Linked DNA regions of Struthio camelus. The protein of the gene in region 1 purifies or fractionates together with the protein of each later gene. This does not show direct contact. Links are inferred from orthologs where the notes say so. Each region holds a gene or a part of one and is shown on either strand. Other genes may lie near its edges.

Region 1 (7,396 bases):
TAGGTCACTGACCATCTTGGTGAACTGTGGACCAGCAGGGAGCTTTGCTGTGGAAAGGTGGGCCTGTAAGTAGTCATCCAGAAGCTGCCTCTCAGAAAGGCTATGACTGTATTTCATCTCTATGCAACACATTCTGGTAACCAGATAAGATTCCCTAACCTGGAGGCAGGAAGCAGAGATGAGTCTTTTGCAATCACAGTAAGCCAAGCATGGAAGGGTGCAGGAGAAAAACATTCTTAACATGGCCTCCACATCACAAACCTGACCTTTATTTTATTTCTGCCAGCACTCGAACATAGGTTTGTTAGGAAGGCTGCTTTGCATCAGCTCCTTTCAGGGAATTAAACTGATTCCAGAAAGATGGAGACGTGGGTTCTCAAGGGAATAAAAACCACTTGGACTTCCAAGTAAAAGAAGTCAAAGTACTGCTAATAATCAGTACTTTGCAAGAGCTCCTAGCATGGGACACAGCAATACCCAAGCTACCTGCAGCTGGGGAGCGGTCCCAACAGGGGAGAGGGGACAGCGACTGTAATACTCACTGTTACAGAGTGAGTGCACAACCTGCATAGGATAAGCCGCTACATGCTAGGATGAGTAGGACTGCTTGACACCCACTGTCAAAATCTGAGACTTACTTGAGTTCTTTCATGGCAATCAGCAAGGGGTCTGTCTCTCCTTCCAACTCCACCATCACAGGGGCACACATCCTGAGTGGAAATAACAACAATCAAATAGAGAATACGCAGAGATGGAAGAGGGATAACTAAGCACGTTATCTATTATGTCTTTCACCCAAAGTTCAGCAAAGTAGGAGGGAGGAACAGCACCTTGGCAAATCCAAGGTTTGCACTTTTATCCACTTTGGGAAGAAATGTCCCCCACTCCAATCTTGTGGTGGCAGGACTGCTTTCACTAGATGCAAGTGGCTATGGACTGAGCTTTTACTTGAATGTTCTTCTTGACCCGTCCCTCAACTGCAGCTGGGGCTTCACAGCTGGTCAAAACCACATCCTCCTGGAGTCCCCCTGGACTGTACATAAATGTGAGGAAGGAAAGAGCAGTTCTAAAATTAATCCAATAAGGAGAGTGGAAACACTATAAAATGGGCATGCCATCTACAGTTCCACCACATTTCTTACTTCCTGACCTGATCTTATTTTCCAGGCTTTACCTGGGGTAAAGTAAGAGGCTGGTTTTATGACACACTATCTCCAGGAAAAAAATAAAGCACTTCGCAGGAAGTTTAACAGCACAGCCAACATGGCTGACTATTATCTGTCCCATTAAGCAACAGCAGCAAAGGAAGCTCACGTTATGTGTGGATAAGGCCACTGGGGGCTGCTGCTGGCCTAGATTCGGTGTTGAAGGCAGAGTAAGTAGCGAAGCCCAATCAGGCACTAGAGCATATGGATTAAAGGTCTGGCACAGACCCATCTCATCTCTCCCATTTTTCTGGCCTTCTACCAGTTGAAGGAATGTGCACAAAACAGCCTCACAGAGTGTTGACTGTGCAAAGAACAGCCTGGCAAAGTGATGACTAAGGAAAGATCTGATCACCACCTACGAGCTTCTAAGTGATATGAAGGAGAAGCATTATTTTGAGAGAGTGCACATAACTAGGATAAGACTCAGAGATGCCTTTTCAGACAAACTTTACCACAGCCTAACAACCTCTTTCCTTGCGGGGCAGTCTTCTGACATGCGTTATTCAAATAGATCCAGAAAGGTAAATGGAAGATGTCGAGAGCAGCCAGCTTCAACAGCACTTAAAATAAGATTTAAGTACAATTACAAATGAGGTCCCATTGATCCAAACGCTGTAGAAACATATAGCTGCAATACAACTGCAGTCTAAAAAGAAGTTGAGATCATTACTCTTAATCCCTACAGCCCTATGAGATCAACTGAAGACATTCTGGAACTTTACTCCCTCAAATCTTGGCTTTTGCTAGCAGATTCCGAGCTTTCCAGCACAGACTGGCTCATCTTATGAAAGGCAGAAATCAGGATCAGCCTATCACATCCCTGTTCTTTTACCTATCACATCGGAAGGTGCACTACAACTGCTGAACACCTCCCTTTCTAGACACAAGTACCATAACCTTAGCTAGGAAAAGATACAGAGATTTCACATGGGACTAAGCACTCAAAGGCTTTGTTTTTCAGTGTCGGCACAGATGGTGGTCCACTAGCTCAGAGATCACATGAGGAACTTCAACAGCTCCAGGATACTTCCAGGAAAGAGAAAAGCAACTTAAATACAGATGGGAGACCCTAGAAGCCCGCAGGCCAGCCACGGTAACAGCTGGGACACAGAGCAAAACACTTACGCTATCTGGAGGGCACGAGTGCCCAGGACTCGGGCTCGCTCATACTTGGTCATGTAGGGGGTGGTAATCCGCTTCTGGTTTGCCTGCTGACGCTCTCCAGACGGGAGGATTTCTACATTCTCCTGCCCTTCCTGGGAAAAACAGACCAGCACAGCAGCGTTACTGCATCCAAAGAGCAGCACAGCCAGGCTTTGGGAAAACACATGACGCCTTTAGGGCCTGAAAGACAGGCTAACCAAGGGTTTTCCACAGAGCACTGCCAGAAGACCTGCGAAGAAGCCCAGCAGCTCCAAGCTGGCTGCGCGGCCGGCAGCCCCGGGGAGCGGCTGCCGCCGCGCCTGCACTCACCTCCTCGGCGTTTTCCAGGTCCTCCAGCCCCTCGTCCTCCTCCACATCGTCGAAGTCGTCGCCATCAAAGCTGCGGGTGGACACGGACGTCGCACAGCGCCCTGGGCCGCCATCGCCTCCTCCTCTCTCTTCCCCCCCCCCCCGACGGGGCCCCCTGTGCCGCCCGGCCCGGCCCCCGCAGCCCCGCTCCGCCCCCAGACCCAGCGCCACCGGCCCCGCGCTCACTTATCCTCGTTGTCAGACATGCCGCCTCCTCCGCCTCCTGCCAGGAAGTAGCAGCCACTTCCGGCGGCCCGCCGTGACGTTACCGGAAGTGAACCGGCGGCCCCGTTGCCGTGGCGACGAACCGCCGCGCTCCCCCCCCCCGCCCTGCCCGTCCCCTCCTTCCCGCCCGCGCGTCGCCATGGAGACGGGAAGAGGGTTTTTTGTGGGTGTGGTTGTTGCTATTGTTTTTTGTTTTTTTGTTTTTAATTGGCTCGCTGGGCTTCTTCCCCTTGTGGCGTTAGAGTGCCGCGCTGTGACGTCAGGCTGGGTCGCGCCTCGGAGGGAAGGTGAGAGGGCCCGGCGGGGTACGGATGCCTCGCGGGCAGCGCCTGTGACGTCACCTGTCACCACGCAGTCCCTGGAAGGGCAGCGCCTGTGACGTCACTTGTCACCATGCTCCCTGGGACGCTGCCGGAGTCCCCGGGGGTGCAGAGGCTGCGCGACGGGACCCCGAACGGCCGGGCCCGGCGGCGAGGCGATGCCGTTGGGGACGTTCGGTGGCCTTGTCTCGCTGCTGTTCTCAGGGCTTCACGATGGCGTCCCGGGAGAGGAGGAGGTCAGCGCCAGCTGCGGCCAAAGGAGCTCACTTCTGGCACCCTCCTGGGACAGCTCAATACAGCCGGGAGACCCAGGAGCTGCTGAAAGGTAACGGCGGCGGGGGGGGGGGGCCTGAAGGAAGTGAAGAACCAGAGCGTTTGGATCCGGTTATTACTGCTTCTATATAGCAACTGTGTGGTCAGTTTAAAAAAGAAAGTCTTTCCTGAAATAAAACACTCCCCCTAATTCATCCCCTCGAGGGAGAGCTGAGAGAGAAACATACAGAGCAAGATGCTAGACCTGGCAGTGAACGTATCTATATATGAGCGTCCTGGTGTGATGTTTCTGAAATTGCAAAATAATTTGATCTTCCCCGCTTTGGATTTTGATTTGTAAGTAGAGATTTTCCCCAGGGCTGATTTACCAAGCCGTTTCACCTGTCCTAGCTGCCAAAGGTGAAGAGTGGAGCCTTCTCAGGCTGTAGTCTTCACAGATGCGCCATGTTTTTCAGCAATGATGGAGGAGTCCAAGCTTACAAGTTTCCAGAGGCGGCACCTGATGGACTGTGTGAAACGTGAGTAACATCCATCTTGCTCTCCACCCTGTGCTGCTGAGTTTGTGTTGCTCACCATGAGACGAAGAACGTTGGCCTGCAGACTAGGTGGATGGGCAAGAAACAAATGAATGGGCAGTACTTGGGAGGAAGTCATGTTCTTGTCAGCATCAGGTCCAGCCTAACTCTCCTGATCTCTGTTTTCATATGTTGTAGTGGAAACTGTTCTCATAGAGAAAACCGTCCAACCTTGGCCTGCCTCTTCCTTTCATTGTTGTACTTTTGCCTTTAAAATAGCAGTAGAGCTGCTGCTGACATTGTGCTGGGCGAGGTGTCCCCAAGGGTCAGTCCAGCGAAGAAAACGTAATGGTGGGACTTGAACCAGTCTCGCTCATGTCCGAATGAACCAATAACTGGGTAAGACATCTGTGGTACTTGGGATCTTTGCTCACTGTACTCCGGTGGATCACTAGGCAGACCTTCTGCTGGTCCAAGGCCATCAAGCCATAGGCTCCTCTGTGTCCGACTTACCAGTATTTTTCCTTTGACCTCCAGGAGGAGATACCCTGCCCCTCCAGTGCAACCCCACATCCAGCAAAGAGCCACAGCCTGCAGAGTCTGCCTTCTCTCCCCCAAAGCTTTGTCTGCCAGGCAGGCTTCCAGCTAAACCACATCTTCGACCTGCCAAGATCTGCCAGGCAGGAGATGCCTATACCAGAGAGAAATTCAAACCACAGGCAAGGCGTAAGTCAGCAAATGTCACTAATAAATAAATCCTGCTGCCCAGTCCCTTACATCCATGCGCTGTTTGCCATCTCAGTAACCTTAGGGGGGTTTCTTAGTTGCTCTTCATCCTCACGCTTTCTGTCTTCAAAGATGCATAAAAAGAGAGCTCTGAGGGAACATCTGTAAACGCTCGTTGCCAACGCCTGCTTGGTTAGGAAGATGATAGGTAATAGGAACTCATGTGATCCTTGCCTAAGAAGGGAATACTATATATATTTTCCAGTTTATAAATGTGAATCAGACCTTTGATGTCAGTTTGGTTGCCTCTTCACTGCAAGTACATCTGTGTAGGGCTGCGCAGTTCAGTCTGGAGATGGGCTGTCATTAACATAATGCTTCCTCTGCCATCATTTGGAGAGAAGCAATGCGGCCAGGCTCCTTCCCTGAGGAGACAGGCTGCTAATAGTTTTCTTTTCTTTGCAATTCACAGGAGATTTGGAAAGGGAGAAGCAAAGACTCCAAAATATCTTGGCGACAGGGAAGGATGTGGTGGAGCACAAAGTGAAGCCGACGCTGGTTCAGGCGAAGGAAGAGGAGACACCTGAGCTTGACCGCTTTGAAGAACGTATGTAAAGGATGCTAGAGTGAGGCACATGGGGAGGCCTGGGAACTCAGCTCCCTCTAAGAGCTGGAGTGGCAGGCCATGTAGCCAGCAATCTGAAGCCCACTGCGGAAGGAGGCACAAAGCCCAGTTTCCAAGAGAAAGGACTTTTTGCTGTGACACTGATCCAGCTTTCCTAGCAGAATTTATACTGCAAAGGTTTGCTGACAGAGTCACGCTCTCTGGATTGCCCATACAAAATCAACTCTGTTGGCACAGGACTACCTTAGCGGTTTGCAAGGGTAACCTCGGCAGAAAGCCCAGCTGCTGTGGATCCTTCTTCCAGCCGGTCTAACTCCATGTAGACTAGGACTTTTGCCAGCCTCAGTGTGGCTTGGGCTGCATTTTCTTTTGCTCCCAAATCAGTGCAGTTACACTAGCAAAGCTTAAATGTAGAGAAGAATTTTAGGTAGTGATGTACTTTGGCCTACAGAGTCTTCTGGGATGGCAAAACCCTGCCTTCTATAACTCTGTGTGCCTGAAACTGCAATGCATGCATGCACCCCAGCTAGCTCTTCCTTAACCAGGGCAGAAGAAAGAATGACAACACGCAGATAATGTGTTTGCAAGGGGTGGTTTGGTCCCTGATGCACGGAAACCAGCGTGGTTGGCTCCACGCGTGCTTTGGATCCTATAAAACTTGTCTCAAACTCACTGTTGTCCTTGACACATCTAAAGTACTCGTGTACTGTGCCGTGTCAGGTGTTGTTTCAGGAACTGGCTGCGGGTCTGTGCTGCAAAAAAGCAGCTGAAGTGCTTCTGTGCATGAGCTGGTCCTGCAACCAAATATGGTTGTGTGTGGTTACTTGGTGCTGCATGTGGACTAGTGAACCTCAACAGATTTAAGACGATTTCTATCTCCATCCACAGACTGGATAAAATGCCTGCAAGCAACAGTGTTGCCTGCACATAAAAAACTAGAAAGTTACTGTTCTGGCAAGGTAGAGAAAGGGGCTGGGGGCGTGGGGGAAGTACTCCTGTTACGTAAAAAACTGCTGAGATGTTTTGGTGACATGGTGAAGATAATTGTTAGAGTAGATATCATCCTTCCCCTGGTGGGACCTCCGTTCCAGTGGAGCTAGGAAGTTGGGGGTTCAGAGCTAAACAGAAAAGTGCTTGCTTGCCTTTTGGCTGCATTCTGTTTGCACGTTATTTTCTCTTCTCCTTGGGCTTAGTGGTGAATGAAGTTCAGGAGAGGAAGGAGTTCCTGGCAGATATGGAAGCTTTAGGACAGGGCAAGAAGTATCGAGGGATTGTCCTCACTGAAATCTCACAGGTACGTGAGGGCCCTGGGGGCATTGGTGCTACAGCATGTAGAGGGAATCCGTGGTGTTAGAAATCTGAGCCCTCTGATAACCAAGCGTGGTGCATGGGAAAGACTGGGAAGAGGCAGAGAAATGAGCGTTCTTTTTCATGGCACGGGGCAGGTGTGAATTTAGGGGACTGGGGGAGAGGGGTTTTCAGCTTTTCTTTCCATGTCTGCATGTAACTTAGTCTAGGGAAGAAGAACCTTTGTTCTTGGCTTTGGCAAAAAAAAGTAGGAGCTCCTGGCATGCTCACCACTCAGGCCTTTCTTTGCGCTTTGCAGAAACTGCGGGAGATGGAGATCATTGACAAGAAGAGAAGCAAGGAAATGAGAGAGATCGCAACAAAAGACTTTCCCATTGGGAACAAATCTGATGGCCATGACTAGGCCCAGAAAAAACACCGGAACAATTTAGTCCCAGGTCTTCTTCCCTTATCATCTGAGTCTTAAGGACTGGTCTGTGTCTGTCCGTCTCTCAAGGATCCCCTTGAAGAGGGGGCAGTAGCACCTGCTGCCTAAAGCCAGAAGGCAGGAATAATTTATGCACAGCCAGTAACAGAAGAAAGCTGTTGCAAAATCCTACGCACGCATCAGATCCCTTCTGCAAGGGGCAGTCTTGCTCAACAATATTAAGGAGAAGAAAACATAGAGGAAAAGCCTTTAAAAAT
Region 2 (7,243 bases), on another chromosome or scaffold:
TACTGAACCATAAGAGGTAAGCATGCTTACGTAAACATGAGCACACATACACCAAGAACGCAGAGAGATACGTGCTAGCAAGAACCTTGCTTGCTTTTATGACGTGGAATATTTCCACAGCGTACCATTGCTAAGCAGTACATAAAGTGAACGCACAGACGTACTAACCTTTTAATGCCTTCTGCAAAGTCTCCAAACAGCTCACCAGATGTTGGTGCCCCCCGGAGTTCATCACAACTCGCTTTTCCTTAGTCAGAGAGAAGAAAAATGACCTTTTGATATATATCTCACTGAGAGGGAATTACTGCAATTTTTGCTCAGTCAACTAAGCTTTATTCAGGTAATTAAAGGCAGATTAGACTTCATCCCAAAATTACATCCTCATTTCGATTCCTATAATAACAACAGTATCCATTTTGAAAGCAGGTAACAAAGGCAGGCAACTTGTTCTTTAAGCAACTCGCTCATCTGGAAGAACAGACTGTAATAACTTTTTAATAGGCATAAGCTGAGAGTTATATAAGAGGAGACAGAGAAATACCTAGACGGGCAAACTTTTAACATCTCAGAACAACACATGCAGAAACCTTTGATGTAGCTCTCTCCTGCCTTCTGCTCCTACCTTCCCCCACCCAGAAACTAATGTTTCAAAACCACATTCAACTAAGCCAACACTGAATTCTGAACACTACGGACAAAGGAGTAAATTGCTTAAGAAAATAAAACATCTCGAAACAGCAAGTGGCAGAACAGTTGTGGTTTGAACCGGTGGTGAGAGACCTTAAGTTTGGCCCTCTTCCTGCATTTGTACTGACAGCTGCCCCCTGTCAATTAGGCTGTAAAGCGGGAGGCTGCAACCAGGGAAAGCAGAGGCACTCCAGGCAGACAGGACATGCACATCACTCCCCTGCACGCTGCTGGGCGAGACAACCGGCATGCCTCAACCGCAGTGGCCCAACAGGAAGTCGAGGCTTGGATAAAAAGCAAAGCGCTTTGAAGAGATCTAACAAACCAACAACAGAATCATTACTAAAGATGCTCCTGAAACTCTCCTGCTCAGATTCCAACAATCCTCACCATGACTTGGCGGACTAGCTTCATGGTTTCTGTCCAAGGTCTGTTTTGGTTAAACTTTGCATGAAGTCTTTCTAAGAGCGAACTCATCTTATTCAGCTTCTCTGCTTCTATAAGGCAAATCATAGGAGAAAATTCAGAAGAGAGAGAACTAGATAAAATTTAAAGTTTTACAAATACAACAAGCAGGCAGTTGTAACAAAAACACTTTCCATCTTCAAGCTAAAAATGATTTCACAAAACTTACTTATTGCTGATTTATCACTGGGACCTAGACTTCAAGGTTATATGACATTAAGGATGTATCTATTAAAATATTATAACTAATAGATATAACTATTAAAACCTAGATGATCATCAAAGGTCTAAGGGCTCGTTGGGAGAAGCCCAGTTACTATTCTGCATGGACCCTGAATGAGATGAACGGTTCCAGACGACTAAGTTCTGTATGACAGTAATATGTCAGAGCACTGTTTGGGTTTACAGCAGCATGGCTTAAAGACGTGCTGAAGCTTTTTGAGGACAAGGAGTAGAGAGTGTAGAAAACATCGCATCAGCAAACTTTTAAAGAACAGAGGTTAAGCTTTCATCTCCTGACTTCACCTTCACTGTTCATACTCTTCTAACCCTCCGACTTCTTGCATTGTAAAGATTTGCACTGATCCCTTCATCTCTCACACCCTTAATTAAATTGATTCAACTGCCAGTGCTTCAGAGGGTCGAAAACTCTCTGACCAGACACGTTTTCACCCACCCTCTGTTAGCCTGAGACCAAGGACTGGTGTCTTCGTGCTGTTCTGGAACCAGTGTACGGCTCTATATCCTGTGATCTAACAAAGCAATTGATGACCTGTTTTGCTCTGCCTTCAAGAGTGGTTCACAGCTCAGTACCAGACTGGAATCTAGTCAACCTTTACAAAATGCTTGTCATATCCCACCAACTTCCTTCTATTAGGTATGGTTTTACAAGCTCGTTTTCCTGTATTTTAGAAAGTTCCACTGTTAGGAAAAGTATCTCCCTGATGAGATAAACTGATGAGAGGTGGGAGACAGGGACACTGACTGGGCAGAAAACTATCATCAGGCAGATTAACTAAAAAAATCCAAATTAGAATAGTGTATTTTTGCCCAATGTCTAATAAAAAACACATACAAAAAAAAAGAGACAGTTTCAAAAGTGTTATAATTTGACATTTCTTTTGCTATCTAGGAGACAGCTTTTTCTACAGTTGCATTCTTTGAAAAACCCAACGGACATCACTGCCAAAATAAATCTCTCACTGGCACTGCAGGGTCCAAGGCAAACACAAAGGCTACTAACCGCCATGCTGTGCAACACTGCAAACTTTGTAGAGCTCATTTTCATGATCGACGTGCGTACAGTTCACAGAATTAGCAGGGATCCCCACCAAGTCCCAGTGTAAAACATAACTAAACGTTTGTCAGATGTTTCCAGGCACTTTATACCTCTCAGTTACACTAGGGACAAGGGGATTTTTTTTGCCAGAGTGCAGCGCAGTCAGAGCTTCCCTTGGATGTTTGCCCTTATACCCTTCAAAAATGGAACAAGCCCTGCAGCCGGCGCGGGGAGGCCCAAGGGGTGCGTTACATGCACTACGGCGGGGAAAGCCCGGGGCGGTGCCGCCGGCCGAGGGGTCCTCGCCCCTCACGGCGGGCCGCAGCCGCGGTACCACCTCTCGGGGGGGGGGAGGGGGGGAGATACACGACACCTACGGCCTAACCCGGGGCGGAGACACCGGGAGCCCCTCGCCGGGCGGCCGGGCCCCGCGGCTCCTCACAGGGCCGGCCCGGCGCCCTCGGCCGCGCCCCTCAGGCGGCACTCACCCTCAGCGCCGCCCGGCGCCGCCTTCATGGCGCGGCTGGGGACGGGCGGCCCCGAGCGGGCCGCGGCACCGGCCTCGCGTCGGGTGGGCGGCGGCGGCCGGGCCCCTCCGCGCCGGCCTCACTCGGCGGCCGCCGCCATCCCAACGGCCGCGGCTGCGCTGCGGGCGGGCCGGCGCGCGGCGCTCCCGCCCTCTCGCGAGAGGGCGGCCGCGTCCTCTCGCGAGAGCCGGGAAAGCAGGGGAGGGGGAGGGAAGAGGCGCGCGCGCCGCGATCTCGCGAGAGCGGGAGGGGGGAAAGGGGCGTGGCCCGCGGGAGCCCCGCCCTCCCCTTTCAGCGCGGCGGCGTTCGCCGGCTTCCCGCAGCCCGGCAGGGCCCGGCGGCCAGCGGCAGCCCGCTCACAGCCGCGGCCGAGCCGCCTTTACGGCTCCCTCTGTGAGGCTCTACCTGCCGGACGATGGAGCTGGCCGCCTCGCTGCCAGGCCGCGGCGGTGCACCGGCTCCCCGGGCCCGCGGGGCGGCCGCCTTGCCCGCATCTTCCCCCGGCCGGCGCTGCCGAGAGGCGGAGCCGTAACCCCCGGCGTTCGGCCTGGTCGCGTAGGGGCGAAGGCGCAAAGCCCAGAGCGAGCCTCAGAGCAGCGCCGCGTTCGCCAGCCGAGCTCGGGCGGGTTTCCGTGAACTTTGAGCCCCCTGTGAAACTTCTCCCCCAGGCCCCGAGCCACTGGCAGAGCTGAGGCCCGGTCACCTCCCCCCTCAGCGGGCGGCTGGGCCGCGGCGCTTCGAGAACGGGTCCGTGTCCCGGGGCGGCCGCCGCCTGAGGCAAAGGGGGCGGCCATGGCCGCCCCGCGCGCCCTTATAAAGTTTTGTTGAAAGTGCGCGGCCGGGGGGGGGGAGGGGGGTTGTCCGCTCTCGGGGCCCCAATAAAGTTTCATTCGACGCCGGCGAGCGCGTCATCGGCAGAACTCTCGCGAGAGGAGGAACGCGCCCCGCTTCCCTTCCCTCCCCCCCTCTCCCCGCCCCTTCCGGCAGCTCTCGCGGGATCGGCGGCAGCGGCGGCGGGGCGGAGGGCGGCGGCGTTCTCGCGAGAGGCGGCGGGCTCTCGCGAGATTTGGCGGGCGCCCCCCCCCCCCCCTTGGACGCGGTGCCGTTTCGCTTTGGGAAGTGAGCGGGGGGCGCGGCGGGCCGAGCCGGGCCGGGCCGGGCACGCGGCGGCGCGGGGCGGCGGCGGCGAGGGGCGGCCTTCCGCCTCGGCGGCGGGGCGAGGGGCCGGCGCGGCGGGGCCCGGTGCTGAGGCGGCGGGAGGGGGAAGGAGGGAGGGATCTTGGGCCCAGGCCCCGCCTTCCCGGGGCGCCCCCGCGGCGGCGCTGCCCTCCGGGCCTGGGCCCCTCGGGTGAGGCGGTGAGGCCGGTGCCCTTCCGCCGCCGGTTCCCCCTTCCGCCTCCTCCTCCGCCTCCTCCTTCTCCTCTGCCGCCGCGGGGCCGAGCTCGCCGGCCCGCTCCCCATGTAAGGGGTGGGGGGTGTTGGCGGCAGGGAGGGCCGAGGCGGGGGGCGACGCTGCTCTGAATGGTGGGAGGGGAGGGAGCTGGGTGCTGAGGGAGTTTAAAGTTTGGGGGTTTTGGAGGATTCCCCCCCTCCCCTCTTTCAAGCACAGTGGAGGAGGAATGCCAAATCCGGAGAGACATGGGGGCAAGAAGGACGGGGGCGGTGGGGGGTCCTCGCAGCACGCGCCTGGCAGCGGCAGTTCGAACAGCAAGGAGAGGCATCGGCTGGCCTCCAGGCACAAGAGGCATAAGTCCAGGCACTCCAAGGAGTCACCGCTGGCAGCCCAAGAGACTGCGGCACCCTTGGGCGCAATGATCAAGCCGCTGGTGGAGTACGACGACATCAGTTCAGATTCGGATACCTTCTCGGATGATGTGGCCCTCAAGCTGGACAGGAGGGAGAACGAGGAAAGGAAAGCGGACAGGAGCGAAAGGATACAGAAGCACCGGCACCACCAGCACAAGCGCATTCGTGAGCTGATGAAGAGCAAGCAGGCGGAGAAGGAGAGGAAGTTAGAAAAGAGCCTGGAGGCATCTAGCAGGTCAGGGTCCACCAAGGACAGACTATCAGGATCCTCCAAGAGACTCCTCGATGACAACGAGGAGCACCCCAAGTCACTGTCTTCGAAGAGTAGCAACAAGGAGTCTCGGTCAGCCAAAGCGCACAAGGAGAAATCCAGGAAGGATCGAGAACTCAAGTCCAGCCACAAAGAGCGCAGTAAAAGCCACCGGAAAAGGGATGCTCCAAAAAGTTATAAAACAATTGACAGTCCGAAGCGGAAATCCAGAAGTCCTCACAGAAAATGGTCTGACAGCCCTAAATTGGATGACAGCCCCTCAGGAGCCTCCTACATCCAGGAGTATGATATCAGCCCTCCCCGGTCTCATACATCCAGTAACTATGATTCTTACAAGAAGAGCCCCGGCGGCTCATCACGCAGGCAGTCGATCAGCCCGCCCTACAAGGAGCCTGTGGCCTACCAGTCGAACACTCGCTCTCCCAGCCCTTACAGCCGGAGACAGAGGTCTATAAGTCCCTATAACAGGAGGCGCTCCTCAAGCTACGAGAGAGGAAGCGGGTCGTACAGCGGGAGGTCGCCCAGCCCGTATGGCCGAAGGCGCTCGAGCAGCCCTTTTGTTGCGAAGCGGTCTGTGAGCCGAAGTCCGATAGCCAGGTGCGTGACCTCTGTGTTGCCTTCGTTGGCTGGGCGATGGGGAAGGAAAAGTGGAATGGGGAAGGAGGAAGTATCTAGGGGTGGTCGGGGTGGCTCTGGGAATGTGGAAATTAACCCCCTTTGTCATCTAGATCTGACCCAGATCACTCTGTGCTGTGGCTGCGTTATTTGGCCGCAGAGTGACTGACTTTGGTGAGGTTCGCTGCAATTCTCTTTAAAATGGTGTTCACACCTTAGAAAACACCTCCCTCACTGGCACTAAGCAGCGTCCATGTTGGCTCTCAGCAGAGAGGCCTAGGACTGAATGAGCTCTTGGGATTAAATTACACTTACCTCTAGAGGTGGCCCCCTGCGGAAGGGAGCGAAGGGGAGCAGGGAGCTGCATGTCCACTGGAGACAGAGCTTTTCAACTCCTGAGGCACTTCAGTGGTGTGAATTTCAGTTAGGAAGAATGTTTTCACTTATTTCTGGAACCCTTTAGCTTTTTGCTGGATGTGGAAACTTGCTCACGCTTTTCAGGAGGGTGGCTTTTGTTCTGAGTATATTTTACTCTTTCTAAACTGACTTATTTTTTTTCTTTCTTTCCTTGAATTAAAGATGACCATGTTTAAACTGCATCTTTCTAGCCTAGACTTTATCAGTAATGGAGTTACTTGCTTCCATATTCTGAAATCAGGGCATTCTGGAAGGGCAAGTAGGAAGCAGCTGTATTCTTGGCTTAATTATAATTTTCTTTCTCTTCCCCCCCCCCCCACTCTCTCCTTAGTCAGAAATCTTGCTACAGAAGGAAACTATTACTTGAAAGTGGTGCTAACTCTGTGTTTTGTTTCAGATGTTTATTAACCATCCTGTTATGTGCACAAATACGTAGTCTAATGCTGATTCTCTTTTCTAGCTTCAGCTTAGGTTGAACAAGTTTCCAGTTTTCACTGTGTGTGCTGTGGAGCTTTGGTTGTAGCTCCATGGCAATTAAGATCTGACCTGGAACGTAATAACTATTGAAATGCTCTGTACTGTGTTGGCTGTGCTGCATCCTTTGGTCCAAATAGGAGCTGTGAGAGAAGAGTCTGCCTGCAGAACTTAGTTACATCATCAATAGTTCCCAGAGAACTTGGTGATTTTGGAATTTGGGCTTTATTACTAGAGCTCCTCTCTTAACTTCAGAGACTGCTATGTTCTGGGGTTGAAACATCGCCTTTCTCCTCACTGTATGAGCAGTGTATTGTTTAGTATCCTGGAAGCTGTTATATAAAATCTGCTGTGTAAAATCGTAGAATAAGCAAATAAGTAGAAATAAGCGAAAGTTACCCTGCCTTTCCTTCAGCCAGCTGAGTCCAGGCCTGTTTCTCCCTCCCCGTTTTCTGTGCGTATACATGAGAGATGTTGAGAGGGAGTCTTTGATGGCTTTCTTTTCCCTCCCCTCAATTCTTTTTGCCTTAATAGCACTGCTCTTACAGGTTATTTGGTAATGCTTTGTGCAAGAGTAAGAACAAAGTGGTAGAAACTTATGTACGGTATGTGATGTAATAGCGTATATGGGATCTGCTAAGTTTCCGTGCTCGGCTGTAACCAGGGAGAAACTGCTTGGGGAGTGAAGTGATATACTAAAAG
Region 3 (6,288 bases), on another chromosome or scaffold:
CCAAACCGGAGCCGCCTGCCCCAGTATAACCAGTGACCCCACACACCGGTGTGGTGGGGGCCGGGCGAGGGCAGGATCAGACCAGGGAAGGTGGAAGGGGCCAGCTGAGCCCTTCCCCTGCTCAAACCAGCGCCGCGAGCGGCCACCCCGCGCCGCTTTGCTCCGGCGCCGCTGGTTTTCGCGCCGGTGCCAGGCCGCTCCCCGCGCTGCCTTCCCACCAGGCTTACGCACGCTTTGGGTTTTTTCCTAGAAGCCGTTAAAAATAGCAATTCTTGGAGAGCGGCTTGCGGGGACGGGGGGGGGGGGTGGCACAAAGAGCCCCCTTCTCCCCGGGGAGGGGGGGGGGTCCCACCTCTACGTGCCCAGGGAGGGGACCAGCGCCAGGGAGCACTCAGGGACCCCCCTGTCCCAGTTGGGGCTGGGGACAAGCAGCAGCCCAGGAGTCCTGATCACCCCCCCCCCCCCCAAAATCCCCACTTGAGGCCACAGCACAAACGCAGCTCAAAAAGAGAGAAAACATCACTTTAATCCAATCCACTAAGGAAAAAAAAGAAAAAAAGACCCCCAAAGATTAAAAAGCAGCTACGAGAGCTGCAAGAGGCGCTTGCTTTCTGGGGAGGGCTCTTCGGCAGCCAGAGGAAACGCTGTGGCGCGATGGCGGCGGCGCCCTCGTCCTGCTGCGGGCACAAGCCCGGCAGCCCCCCCCCCCCCGGGGTCCCGCTACGCCCCCACCCCGGCGCCTTCCCCCCCCCCCCCCCAATATCAAGCTAAAAAACACTTCAAAAGTGACCTAAAAACACAGCAAAAAAAGGGCAAAGTTTGGTCCGAGCTGCGGGGAGGGCTGTGCGCCCACACCTTCGCTGCCCCCCTGAACCCCAGGATGGGGGTCCTGCCCTCGTCCGGCGCGGGGGCACCTCGGTGGTGACGCCGGGTGCAAGGTTTGGCGGGTGGGGGGGACCCAACCGTACGATGGGTGCGGCCGAGCGCCCGTGCCTGGAGCACAAGTGCCACCTGGAGGCAAAGGCGGGCTGGTCCTCAGCGCCGCTGGTGCACAGGGAGGGACGAAGGGCAGAGGAGGAGGCTGGTGACCGGCGGAGGGCCCAGGCGTCCGGGCCGCTCAGTAGACCGCTTCGTCCATGTTGTCGTCGCTGTCGGCGCCGAAGTCCTCGCCGTTGTCGAAGTAGGACATGATGTAGTCGGTCTCCTGGGGACGGGGAGCCGGTGGGCGACGGGGGCCTGAAGCGCATCCTCGGGGCGGGGGGAGGCACCCAGACCACCCCCAGCCCCCAGGATCTCACCTCTTCGTGCTCTTCCTCATCATACTCTTCCTCCTCCTCTTCTTTCCCTTCCTCCTCTTCTTCCTTCTCTTCCTCCTCTGACGTGACTTCCTCCTCTTTCTTCTCCAGGCTCTGGGCGCCGAGGGAAGGGAGACGCCGAGTTAGCGCGCGCCCGCGTTAACCGCGGGGACTCCCCGCCGCAGGGCGGAAAAAAAAAAGAAAAAAAAGAAAAGAGAGCCGCCCGCACGGGACAACCCCGGCGAAGGCCGGCCCGAGCCTTCGGCCTCCTTACCTCCAGCTTCTTAATGGTCTCCTCCTTGTCGAGCGCGAGCCGCTGCTTGCGCTTGGGGAGCAGGACGGCGGGCCCTGCGCGGGGCAGAGGAGGCGGGCGTCAAGAGCGCCCGGCGGCAGGACGCGGCCCGCGCCGCCCGCGATACTCACTGCCCTTGCGGAGCCGCCGCACCCGGATCTTCAGCTCCCGCGGCAGGCGCCTCCAATCTGCGCGGCAGAGCGGAGCGCCGGATGGGACGCCGGCTCCCCTCCGGCCCGCTCCCACGGCGTTTCTCCCTCCTCCCCATCCCGGCTACCTGGGCTCCAGTCGATGGCGCTGTCCACGGGGCTGGACACCTGGTACTTGTCCGAGTAGCGCTCGATGTCTGCGGGGTGGCGAGCGGGACCGTCGGCGGGGAGCCCCGCGGCGGCCCCAGCCCCGGGGTCACCTTTTCGGATACCCGCCGCCGCCCCGGCTCCGTACCTCGCCTCGGCGCCCCCGGCTTCACGAAGTAGGGCAGGTTCTTCATGGCGCCGCGCAGCTCCTGCTTGAGGGCCAGCATGTACTCGAGCTCCTCGCCGCCGGGCAGCGGCACCGGCCGGTACTCCATGGGCTGCGGGCGCAGGAGGGCCCTCAGCGCCACTGCTGCGATGAGCGCGGCAGGTCTCGGCCACCGCTACCTAGCGGGGAGGCGGGTGGGGGGGGGGGAGAGTAGGTGTCCCCCCCCTCCCCGTAGACTCACCGGGAAGAGCGGCGACGGCTGGAGGGTGGGCGGCGGCAGCGCGTCCCCCTTGGCGATGCCCACGGCCTCCACGTTGAAGGTCATCTGCCCGCGGCCCCGGCCCCGGCCGCCTCGGCCCGCCATGGTCGGTGCGGGGGGGCGCCGGGGCCCGGCGGCGGCGCTGCGAGGGGACAACGCTGCCGTGAGGGGGCGGGGGGGGGGCAACGGGGCGGGCACGGCGCGGAGACACACGGCGCTGCTCCCCCCCCCCCCCCCCCCGGTCCCGGTTCGGTCCCGCTCCCGGACACTCCCCCCCACCCCGGACCCGGCCGCACCTGCGCCGCGCATGCGCACGGGCGCTCCGCGCCGCGCCACGTGCGCCCCCCCCCGCTCTCGGGGCACACGGCGCGGAAGGGGCGGGGCTTGTGCGCGCCGCCGCACTTGGGCGCGGCGGGGCCAATGGGAGGGCGGGAGGGGGCGGGGTTTGGGAGAAGGGGCGTGGCCGGGGAGAAGGGGCGGGGCCGAGCGGCTGAATGGGGAGGTGGATAGAAGGCAGGGAGGGGTGGAAAGAGGAAAAGGCGGGTGGGAACCGCGGGAGAGGGGACGGGAGGGGCGAAGGGGGCAGGGAAGGGGCACCCGGGCGAGCGAGGGACCGAAGCGGGGACGGGGATGGAGGGATGCGGGCCCCGATGGGTGAGCGCTCCCCACCCCCTGCCCCACAGCGCCGCCCCACGGCCCCCAAGCCCGCTGCCCCACAGCCTCAGTGCCTCCACCCCGCTGCCCCATAACCCCTAGTGCTGCCACGCCATAGCCCCCTGCCTCATAGTACCCAGTGCTGCGGCCCTATGGTCCTCACCTCGCTGCCTCATCACCCCCAGCCCCGCTGCCCCATAACCCCCAGTGCTGCTGCCCCATAGCCCCCACCCCGCTGCCCCATAGCTCCTGGGCCTGCTGCTCCATAACCCCCAATGCTGCTGCCCCATAGCCCCCAGCCCCCTGCCCCATAACCCCCAGTGCTGCTACCCCATGGCCCTCAGCCCCACTGCCCCATAGCTCCTGGGCCTGCTGCTCCATAACCCCCAGTGCTGCTGCCCCATAGCCCCCAGCCCCCTGCCCCATAACCCCCAGTGCTGCTACCCCATAGCCCCCACCCCGCTGCCCCATAGCTCCTGGGCCTGCTGCTCCATAACCCCCAATGCTGCTGCCCCATAGCCCCCAGCCCCCTGCCCCATAACCCCCAGTGCTGCTGCCCCATGGCCCTCAGCCCCACTGCCCCATAGCCCCTGGGTCTGCTGCTCCTTAACCCCCAATGCTGCTGCCCCATAGCCCCCAGCCCCCTGCCCCATAATGCCCAGACCCACTGCCTCATAGCCCCCACCCTGCTGCCCTATAACCCCCAGCTCCACTGCTCTTTGGCTCCCACCCCACTGCCCCATAGCCCCAGCCCCACTGCCCATGTCCCTCAGCCCCGCGGTGTGGTGCTCCCCAGCCCCATGGTGTCATATCCCCCCAGCCCCACGGTGTCGCGTCCCCCAGCCCCATGGTGTCGCGTCCCCCAGCCCAACGGCGTCGTGTCCCCCAGCCCCATGGTGTCATATCCCCCAGCCCCACGGCGCAGTGCCCCCACGGCAGCTGCTCCCGCCGCCTCCCGCACAGGCTGCTCGGCGCAGCGGGTTCGGCGCTGCCACCGCCGCCGGGTGATTCATCCCCGTCCAGCCTCCCCGCGCGAGCGGCTGCCAAAAATAGCGACGGGGGAAGGGGGGAAAAACCCTCCAGCTAACCTCCCCTACCGACCCCCCCCCCCAGCCGGGATGGCGGCCACCGCGCCATGTCCCCGGCACCGGCACGGCCAGGGCACTGCGCACCGGGACGCCGGAGCATCGCGCTGGTAACGGGGGTGATGGAGGAAGGCAGCGGGGAGGGAGGGCTGGGGAGACCCGCATGGGGCAGCCCCCGCGGAGGGCAGGGCCCCCCCCCACCCCAGAGCTCGGTCCCCCCTTGGAGCCGGCAGCCCCCCCAGCACCCAGTGGGGCTCGGATGCAGCCGGGGCTTTGCCGGGGGCTGCTGTAACCCAGGCTTGCAAATTGGGGTGGAAAAGGTGGGGGGGTTGGCTCTTTTCCCCCCATTTTTCTGGCTGCCCAGAGAGCCGGAGGAGCAGGATGAGCTGCAGTAACCATGGGAACCAGGCAGGCAGGGATGCAGGGAGATGTATAGAGGGATGGGGGTACGCGGGGCTATGGGGGATGCACCCAGGGATGGGGGTATGTGGGGAGGCGGGGGATGCACCCAGGGATGGGGGTACACGGGGAGGCGGAGGATGCACCCAGGGATGGGGGTGCACAGGGAGGTGAGGGATGCACCCAGGGATGGGGGTGCACGGGGAGGTGGAGGATGCACCCAGGGATGGGGGTACACGGGGAGGTGGAGGATGCACCCAGGGATGGGGGTACACAGGGAGGTGGAGAATGCACCCAGGGATGGGGGTACTTGGGGCTGTGGGGGATGCACCCAGGGATGGGGGTGCACGGGGAGGTGGAGGATGCACCCAGGGATGGGGGTACTTGGGGCTGTGGGGGATGCACCCAGGGATGGGGGTGCACGGGGAGGTGGAGGATGCACCCAGGGATGGGGGTACTTGGGGCTGTGGGGGATGCACCCAGGGATGGGGGTGCACAGGGAGGCGGAGGATGCACCCAGGGATGGGGGATACAGGCGGGGGACAGGGGATGCCGGGGGCACCAGCAGGGGACCCGGGGCACCGCGCAGGCAGGGCGTTCAGCCACAGGCAGTGGCAGAGAAGCCCTGGCGCCTGGGGTGCTGCAGGCTGGGCTGTGACCGCTGGCCAGTCCGACAGGGGCATCCGCAGGGGTCGCCCCCTCGTGAGAGCCCGTCGGTGCCCGTCAGTGCCATCAGTTCGACCGCGGCTGCGAGGGCAGCGGGGGGCGGGGGGGGGGCGGGCAAGAATTGCAGCTGGGGAAACTGAGGCAGGGAGCCAGGGCTGCCTGCCAGGAGGGAGCTCTGGGAGCAGCGCATCCGTGCAACGCGGTCCCCCTCTCCACGTCCTATTGCAATGTGTGCGCCGTGCTCTGGGTTCACCAAACCCCTGCACCATCCCCTTTCTGTGTCCCGTTGCAGAGAGGGTGCAGTGCTGCACGATGAGCACATCCATGCGACGTCCCCTCTCCGCGCCCCATTGCAGGATCACCATATCCATGTGACATTGCCTTTCCATGTCCCGTTGCAGTGAGCGTGCAATGCTCTGGGATCGCCACATCCCTGACCCGTCCCCTTTCCGTGTCCCGTTGCAACGTGTGTGCGATGCTCTGGGATCTCCATATCCGTGCAACGTCCCCTTTCTGTCCCCCATTGCAGTGCCCGTGCAATGCTCCGAGATCGCCGTATCTGTGCACCATCCCCTTTCTGTGTCCCGTTGCAGAGAGGGTGCAGTGCTGCACGATGAGCACATCCATGCGACGTCCCCTCTCCGTGCCCCATTGCAGGATCACCATATCCATGTGACATTGCCTTTCCATGTCCCGTTGCAGTGAGCGTGCAATGCTCCGAGATCGCCGCGTCGCCGCCACCTCCCCTGGCCGCGTCCCGCCGCAGTGAGCGCCCGATGCTCCGGGCTGAGCCCCTCCGCGCCCCGTCCGCTCCCCGCCGCCCGGCTCCGTGAGCGTGCCATGCGCCGGGCTCAGCCCGCCCAGGCGCCGCCGCCCGTCGGGGGGCCGTGAGCCGGCCATGCCGAGCCCCCCGCGTCGCCCGGCCGGCCCGGCCGTGCTGCCGGCGGACGGCTCGGCCCTGCTGCGGGCCGTGACGCAGGGCAAATTTCGCTTGACCCGGCTGCTGCTGGAAGGCGGCGCCTACATCAACGAGGGCAACGCGGCCGGGCAGACGCCGCTGATGGCCGCCTGCCGGGCCCGCTACGCCGACCCGCTGGCGCAGCCCCGCATGGTGCGCTACCTGCTGGAGCGCGGCGCCGACCCCGACATCGCCGACAAGACGGGCAAGACGGCGCT
Region 4 (6,899 bases), on another chromosome or scaffold:
ATCACGCCTGATTCAGACCTTTGGATAAAAAAATGGTCCCTCAGCTAAAGCAACAATAGTTTTTCCTGCTGAAATCAAACAAAGAAGGATTTATAAATTATTTGGGATGACACTGCAACAGTGTTAATTAGTCCAGATCATTTAAAACACCACTCTTCCTCACTGTCTTCTACTCCCTGGTGCCAGCTCGTTTCTTTGCTGGACCTCCTACGGAGGAAGAAAGAGAGAAGGAGGCAGAGTCCAAATCAGCTGGCAATATAGAGCTTGTGAGAGAAGCAAGGGAAGTCATCATCTATGTTCACCCAGGACAGCGGTAATTTTTTTAAAATACACAGTCCATTTCCCAATTTAACCAGCTCAATATACTTCAGAAGATACCCAGGCTTCTTAAAACATTGTATTAGTATACCACACAGTTGTCTAAGAAACCTTCCAGAGACGCTGGATAGACATTCTGGATACAAGTGCTGTTAACACCACTACATGGGCAAATCTCCATTCCAACACCACCTCTGGTGTATCTACACTGTCTCTGCCACCCCAGCTAGGAATATGATTCCGTATTTTTCACTTTCAGGTTCTTTAGTATCAAAAAAGTGCTCCTCCCACTACAGAACCAGAATTTTCCATCTCATCATGCACCAGCGTATCCCTGGCTCTTCCCACACAGCCATGCTTGAAATTTTACCAGTTATCATCTGATGTTCAGATGTGGAATTATGTTGTAGAAATGCAAAACCTTCACAGCGAAAAGCCTGCATCTTCAGTTAACTACAGGCCTGGGGTTGTTCTGGCACAACCGTGAGTATGTGACATCCGAGCGAGTGACTACGAGTCTCCTGCTATCAGACATTCAGTTCTTCCCAGAAATACAAGCATGAATAAGTTATTTTAAAGGAATGAGACTCGTCAGTTCCAATGTTGCTTTCCCCGACTCATGTCTCCTGGGTGGCCTGATGCAGCAGGTTCACTTAAAGCCAGCTTTGTACACAGGACAGAGCTCTGCAAAAAAATGGAACAAGTGCCGTTTCCCCTCAGAGCACAGCCCCAGCTGGGAGGGGGCCCGAGACGCGCGATAGCGCCTGGTAACGCTCAGAAGGGAGGAGGCTTGCGTTCAACCCCCTGTCCCCACAGGGGCATTGGAAATCCCATTTCCCCTGCCTTCTCTGAGCACCAAACGTGCGCTATTCTCGTCTGCCTCTCCGGAGGAAGTTATTCCACTTTGTGGAACAGAAATTAAGATTCCCTGGGCTAGGGAGAGAGCGCGAGAGAGAAAAAAAAAACAACAACCTTGTTTCTTGTCCTTCATCTAAGGCTGCTTATGTAATTTTACATGAAAGCTCTTCCTGAATCCTGCTGTCAGTGGTTAAATAAAATGTCCAGTTATAAAGATCACAATTTTTCTTGTCCATTTAAGGACAGAAAATGACAACAGACCCTTCTATTAGAATACCCGAATGACAGGGAGATACATAGGAAGCCATGTGTCCCAGAACGATTTATAATACTCACGCAATTGGAGGGATGTTACACCGAATCAGAATGAAGCTTTCCTTGCAGGCCTGCAGCCACAATTCATGTCTACAGTCTGTGTAGACCCTTTTCCTCTTATCTACGAGGAATGCAGAAATGAACACCAGAAGAGTAACAGCACGGAATTAAAAGCTACCAGACATCAGGCACGGTCACCTGAGTATTTGTTTAAAATTATCCCTCTATGCAGAATTTTTTTCTTTTTAAAGGGACTTTCCTGGTGTAAATCAATATTAATGCCAATTATTAATACACACCCTTAAACTTAAGAACATCTTCTAGGAAGGCAAGGGGTAAATCTTCTCATTTTTTCTGAGAAGTGATGAACTCTAGGACAGGATGGAAGTGCTCACGAGCTGCCCATGACAGCACCAATTTAGAACCAGTGAAGAAAAAATATTGCGCCCAAAGGACTGTAAAAAATTCAGTGATGGAGCAGATGAATCCTGCCTCTAAGCCTGAACTCGGATGGGTATTTGGGTGCTAGATCTCCCCTTTTTATTGCTGAAAACTTTGAAACAACTGTGAACAAAAAGACTGCAGTCCCGCACGTCACCTGACACAGACAGACTCTTGCCAGACCTGCCAGAACTGCTCCAGCAGGTCACTAACACCTCCGTGTGACGGTACCCACGGACCCCCCCTCCCCCCCGAGCGGCGGCACACGAAATCGAGATGCTCCTACGCAAGGGCAGGCGGCAGCCCGGGAACCGCCGCCCTCTCGCCGCCCTCGGGCAGCGGTCCGGAGGCAGGAGAGGGGCCACCCGCCCCCACATTTGCGGCGGCGGCGGGGGTCCCTCAGCCCGGCCGCCCCCCGCCCCGGCGCGCGCGCAGCACAACGGAAGCGGCCAACAAGGGCTGAAGCAGCTCCCAAACGTTCCCGGCGATCGCGGTTTTGACCCAGTTACCCGCGTCGCCGCCCGCCCGCCAGCGGCTGCGCAGGACGGCCGGCCGCCAGCGCTGCCCCGCCGGGCGCCATGCGGCGCGCGCGCACCTCGCCTCAGCGCCTCAGCGGCGGCGCGGAGCGGGGCGGCCTGTCCCGCCGCCGCCGGGCCGCGCCGCGCCGCCCGCCACCCCCCGCCGCGGCGAGCAGCTGCCGGCGCTTCTCGCCTCCTCGCCCACCCGCGAGCCTCCCGCCCCGGCACCGCGTGGGGAAAGGCCCGGGGCGGCCGCGGCTCACGCCAAACCGGCGCGCCCAGCCCCCCTCCCCCGTTACGTGTGGCGAGTCTGAGGTCCTCAGAGAGGCTCGCGGCCCTCCCCCCCCGGTCCCTCGCAGCAGCCTCCCCTTCCCCCGCCGCCCGCGGGGCGCCGCCAAGCAGCAAGAGGGGCGCGGCGGCCGCCTACCTGGCGGAGGGCCGGCGCGGGCAGCAGGGCCGCCGGTTCCCCGGTGGCGGTGCGCGGCGCTCAGGCGGCGGCCATGTTGGTGTCACTGCGGCCGGCACGTGGGGAGCGCGGTCCTCCTCCTACCCACAATGCTCCGGCGGGCGGCGCGCCCGCCAGGGGGCGCCGCGGCGGAGCGGAGCAGAAAAAAGAGCCGCTGGCAGCGGTGGGATTCGAACCCACGCCCCCGAAGAGACTGGAGCCTTAATCCAGCGCCTTAGACCGCTCGGCCACGCTACCGCCGCGACACCAGCTTCTTCTGCAGGGGATTTCTTACAGACACAGCCCGGTTCTTTGTGCTCTCCCTTTTTTTTTCTCTTCTTCCTCTTAGACGCCCCCACGTTTCCAAGAGCTGGTCCTAGCAACCGCTCTCCTTACACACCATTTACACGTCCAAAACCAAAAAGACTTGTTTTTTTTTTTTTTTGTTGCGCTCCTGTAGCGAAGCCGTGGCTGCAGCAGCGCCGAGAGCTGTTACGGAAGCAGCAGCAGCGAGCAGCGGCAGCCTGCAGCCGCGGACGGCTCCGCGCAGGGGGCAGGGCCGCCGCCCCCCCCCCCCCCCCCCCCCCCCGGGCAGCGCTGAGCCGCCACGTGGCCGCCGCGCGCTCCCGCGCTGCTCCCGGCAGCGAGCGCGCCGGCGCTCGGGCCTCGCCTGCGCACCGCTAAACCTACAAGTTATACATTTTATCTTTTCCTTGCTGCAAAGTCCGAGCTCGCTTAGTTTGAAAAGTGAAAGCTTAGACTTTTAGGATTTTTCTTTTCCCTCGCCGTGCTGCAACACAGGGGCCAGAGCAGCAGGGCCTGGAGGGTTGCACCGATGCGCTCCTCTGCGGACGAGGGGTAGGAGCGCATCTGAGTTGGCCCTGTACCTTATGAAGGTGCCTTTGGGAACCTCTGTCCGCATTTTGCCTGAAGGTCTGGTGAGGTTTCTTGGAAAATACTGTTATTCTTGGCCCTTGGTTAGAGCTGAAGGACGGCGTCCGGGAAAGAATTCCAGCCTTCCCGAAGTAAGGCCGCAAAGTCTTCATGCAGCCTGGTTTAACTCTGTGATTATGGCAGCCCGCTTAAATGGGATAGAAAGAATAAACCTGCCGGAGTACTCCCGAGACCTCAGTCCATCCCTCCCCCCGACCCATCCACCCAAGCCCTGGAGCCTCTGGGCTGTCCCCGGCCGGCCGGCATGGCGCCCGCCCTCCTCGCGGGGACCTCGGCGGCTCTGCAGGGTGGCAGTCCTGCTGGAAACGCCGCTCAGCAACAGCAGCACGCACGGAGTGGTGAGCGGCATCCTCCTCTTGCTGCGTTTTCACACCCTCCGTTCTCTTGATCGGTGAAGGAAAGCCCTGTGCCCAAGAACATTCACCTCAGCCATTTGTGCCGCTTCCAGGCGGTAGGAGCGCAGACCCCACCTCTAGGCTGGCAGCTGGGTCACCGGGTTGCTCACTGGGCCAGCGTGAGGCACGATGATCGTGATGGGATTTTTTTCAATGTATTCAAATGTTCAAATTCAAAACAAAAGTGAATTTACTGGAGAACTCAAATATAGTGCAAGCTACCTGCATAATTATACCACTTTCCTGACAGAGGAGTGTCAGCGAAGAGCAGAGGACCTACCACCCGTACTCTGATCCCTTTCACACCAAGGGCCAGCTGACGTCTGATGGGTGGGAACCCCCGTGAGCCCGTCCCACGAAACATCCAGGTCCCCAGCGGTGGGAGGAGGCACATGAGACACACCTGAGCTTCAACCAGAAAACAGCCCGACTCGCCCCCAGAAGCACCAGCCTAGAATCCAATCAGAGATTCAAGTGTAATCCTCCCTTCTCAAATTCAGATGAGAAGTTCTGATTTGGCCCACCTAAATTATACTTGTGTCTGTCGGGAGTTACTCTACTCACAGAACTGGAATTACACCTGTGGAGAAAAAAACAAACAGAGATTCACATCAGAGCCATGATTAAGAAACGGCCGGTCTTCTTATTTGCACTCTTCAGTTCTACGTGTGTGTCCATCGTTCCCGTGACTGCTGAAGGATGGTATCCCTACTTGCTTTGTGCCTCTTGCCAAAGGCTCCAACTCTCGGTGACACCAGCTATAGCTAAACGCAAGACTGGCAGTGCCAAATTTCACCGTTTTTCATCTTAGTGACACTGGAGTGAATTTGGCTTAAGAGACCCCACTGGGGCTTTTGGGTTAGGAGATTCCATTATCGCAAAGTGTCTTTGCTATAGAAAGATTTCGTGCTGTTTGAACTATACAGGTATAATAAATGATACCTGTCTAATTAAAGCAATAAAAAAGCAATAGTAAGGGCTCCAGTTGCAATAGTTGAGAAGGGCTAGTATCCAAACAGTTTGTTCTTGTACAGAAGAGGGAATAAACATACTAAAGATGGCAGTGTATCGTTAGATATTGTACCCATTACAAGAACTCTCCCACCTCTAATCATCCAGGCCAAATATTTGCTTTTTTTTTTTTTTTTCCTCAGGGCTAGGCAAAGATTGGAGGCATAAAGGTGCCTCTAACAGCCCTGCCAGTGAGCGCTTTGGTCCTTACGTCGTATCCTGTAGTAGTTACAGACGTTGCAGATGTAACAGAATGCAAATAAAACATCACATTAACCATTAGCTGTCTTCAGGAAAACATTTTCTTGGCATGCATCTAGCTATTTCCTCTTGGTTATTTAGTTCTGACTGTTGAAAGTACACAAGATCAGGGATGGCATAATAAAAACAACACAGAGGATTTCTGGGAGCTTGCACTAGTAGGGTTCAACTTTGGCAAATAATAAAAGCAAGAGCAAAAAAGAACCCCCCCAAAGGCAATGACCAAAACTCAACTGAAAAAAGTGACAAAAAATAACTTTATTGACCAGCCAGAATGAATCCAGATGAAGTGAACGACATGACTTAAGTGGTGCAAGCCATCAGTACTCGCACGTCTGACGCACAAACAAGGCTTCCAACTCGCTGTCCTTACCCCAGGAACGCTGCATCTGGGTAAGTTTTGCAGGGCTGAGACTCAAATTTATGTTCAAATTTTTTAAAAATATAATTTTTATTTGTTCATTGTGAATAGATTAAAAATACAGCATATAGCAATATCATTCCAAAAGTCTGTCAAATACATATTCTCTTCAAGAGTGTCATAAAATAAGTTGCGCATATTTCTGTAAACCAGTTTCGTTTTTAAATCATTCAAACTCCTACTGACCGTATAGCTAAATATGATACCACCTTACTACAGAAGGCAGTTTACGTCATTAAAAAAGTAACATTTACAATAAAAATATTAATCATATTTTTCCAAGCATTTACACACCAGGTCTAGAGAGAACTGTCAGCAACTCTCGCAACTACAGAACTTAGCAAATTAAACTTTGTCAAAGAGTTTCAATAATTATACTCAAAGTCCTTTACTCACATTTTGGATGGACACAATCAATCTCCTCTCCTCCCTACAAGGCTGGCAGGGTTGTAACACACGTGCTTCTTTCTTAAAGCAAATCTCAAAGACTTGGCGTCAACACCTTACAGGGAAAACAAATCCTTTGTCTGGGTGTGTTATAGTGCCTGCACTGTATCAGTCCTGCACAAAACCCTCTGACTGTTCAACTGTCTGCAGAGAGGAAGGGCAGGAAGGACACGTTTACCTTTCATCGAAAGCTGCTACTTTAGGGCTATGAATTGAAAGAGCAAAAGGTCACATCCAAAAGAGGCGTTAGGCACCTAAAAACAGAACTGTGGATAGGCACTTAAAGCATTCACATACGTTGCGATCCTACAAATTCCGGTTCAATTTCAGCATCTTAGGTCCAAAGAATTTGAGTACTTTAGTACCTAGCTTATTATCTACCTAAGCCCAGTTGAGGTCTAGAAATCAGACATTCCTCCCTAATGGGTGAAAAGCTTCACCTAGTATCTGACACCCTCTCCGGAACAGGCTCCTCTCCTCCCCAGAAAAAGAAGTTATGAACATTTCTTCCCCTC

What was found.
Region 2: the proteins of POLR2F (region 1) and MED1 purify together in Homo sapiens (affinity purification with mass spectrometry; 3 studies listed by BioGRID and IntAct, with this or other methods). This does not show direct contact. The link is inferred for Struthio camelus from reciprocal best matches to the Homo sapiens genes POLR2F and MED1.
Region 3: the proteins of POLR2F (region 1) and POLR3GL purify together in Homo sapiens (affinity purification with mass spectrometry; 3 studies listed by BioGRID and IntAct, with this or other methods). This does not show direct contact. The link is inferred for Struthio camelus from reciprocal best matches to the Homo sapiens genes POLR2F and POLR3GL.
Region 4: the proteins of POLR2F (region 1) and POLR3E purify together in Homo sapiens (affinity purification with mass spectrometry; 4 studies listed by BioGRID and IntAct, with this or other methods). This does not show direct contact. The link is inferred for Struthio camelus from reciprocal best matches to the Homo sapiens genes POLR2F and POLR3E.

Annotation. Positions count from the first base shown.
Region 1 is NC_090942.1:58,570,734-58,578,129, forward strand, and holds the start of POLR2F (DNA-directed RNA polymerases I, II, and III subunit RPABC2), read right to left. Parts: upstream 3,002-7,396; 5' UTR 2,927-3,001; coding exon 2,907-2,926; intron 2,752-2,906; coding exon 2,682-2,751; intron 2,465-2,681; coding exon 2,334-2,464; intron 711-2,333; coding exon 639-710; intron 160-638; exon of another isoform or gene 48-159; coding exon of another isoform or gene 5-47; exon of another isoform or gene 1-4. Other genes in the region: C1H22orf23 (UPF0193 protein EVG1), read left to right, coding at 3,479-3,590, 3,994-4,056, 4,591-4,779, 5,252-5,386, 6,598-6,698, 7,011-7,115. UniProt on the Homo sapiens protein: DNA-dependent RNA polymerase catalyzes the transcription of DNA into RNA using the four ribonucleoside triphosphates as substrates.
Region 2 is NC_090966.1:6,514,399-6,521,641, forward strand, and holds the start of MED1 (mediator of RNA polymerase II transcription subunit 1), read right to left. Parts: upstream 3,023-7,243; 5' UTR 2,948-3,022; coding exon 2,920-2,947; intron 1,185-2,919; coding exon 1,078-1,184; intron 248-1,077; coding exon 169-247; intron 1-168. Other genes in the region: CDK12 (cyclin-dependent kinase 12), read left to right, coding at 4,578-5,632. UniProt on the Homo sapiens protein: Component of the Mediator complex, a coactivator involved in the regulated transcription of nearly all RNA polymerase II-dependent genes.
Region 3 is NC_090971.1:3,068,658-3,074,945, forward strand, and holds POLR3GL (DNA-directed RNA polymerase III subunit RPC7-like), read right to left. Parts: upstream 2,465-6,288; 5' UTR 2,414-2,464; coding exon 2,291-2,413; intron 2,194-2,290; exon of another isoform or gene 2,162-2,193; coding exon 2,032-2,161; intron 1,934-2,031; coding exon 1,865-1,933; intron 1,776-1,864; coding exon 1,719-1,775; intron 1,644-1,718; coding exon 1,570-1,643; intron 1,410-1,569; coding exon 1,299-1,409; intron 1,205-1,298; coding exon 1,118-1,204; 3' UTR 505-1,117; downstream 1-504. Other genes in the region: ANKRD34A (ankyrin repeat domain-containing protein 34A), read left to right, coding at 6,011-6,288. UniProt on the Homo sapiens protein: DNA-dependent RNA polymerase catalyzes the transcription of DNA into RNA using the four ribonucleoside triphosphates as substrates. Specific peripheric component of RNA polymerase III which synthesizes small RNAs, such as 5S rRNA and tRNAs.
Region 4 is NC_090956.1:9,387,595-9,394,493, forward strand, and holds the start of POLR3E (DNA-directed RNA polymerase III subunit RPC5), read right to left. Parts: upstream 3,008-6,899; 5' UTR 2,878-3,007; intron 1,613-2,877; 5' UTR 1,513-1,612; intron 1-1,512. UniProt on the Homo sapiens protein: DNA-dependent RNA polymerase catalyzes the transcription of DNA into RNA using the four ribonucleoside triphosphates as substrates.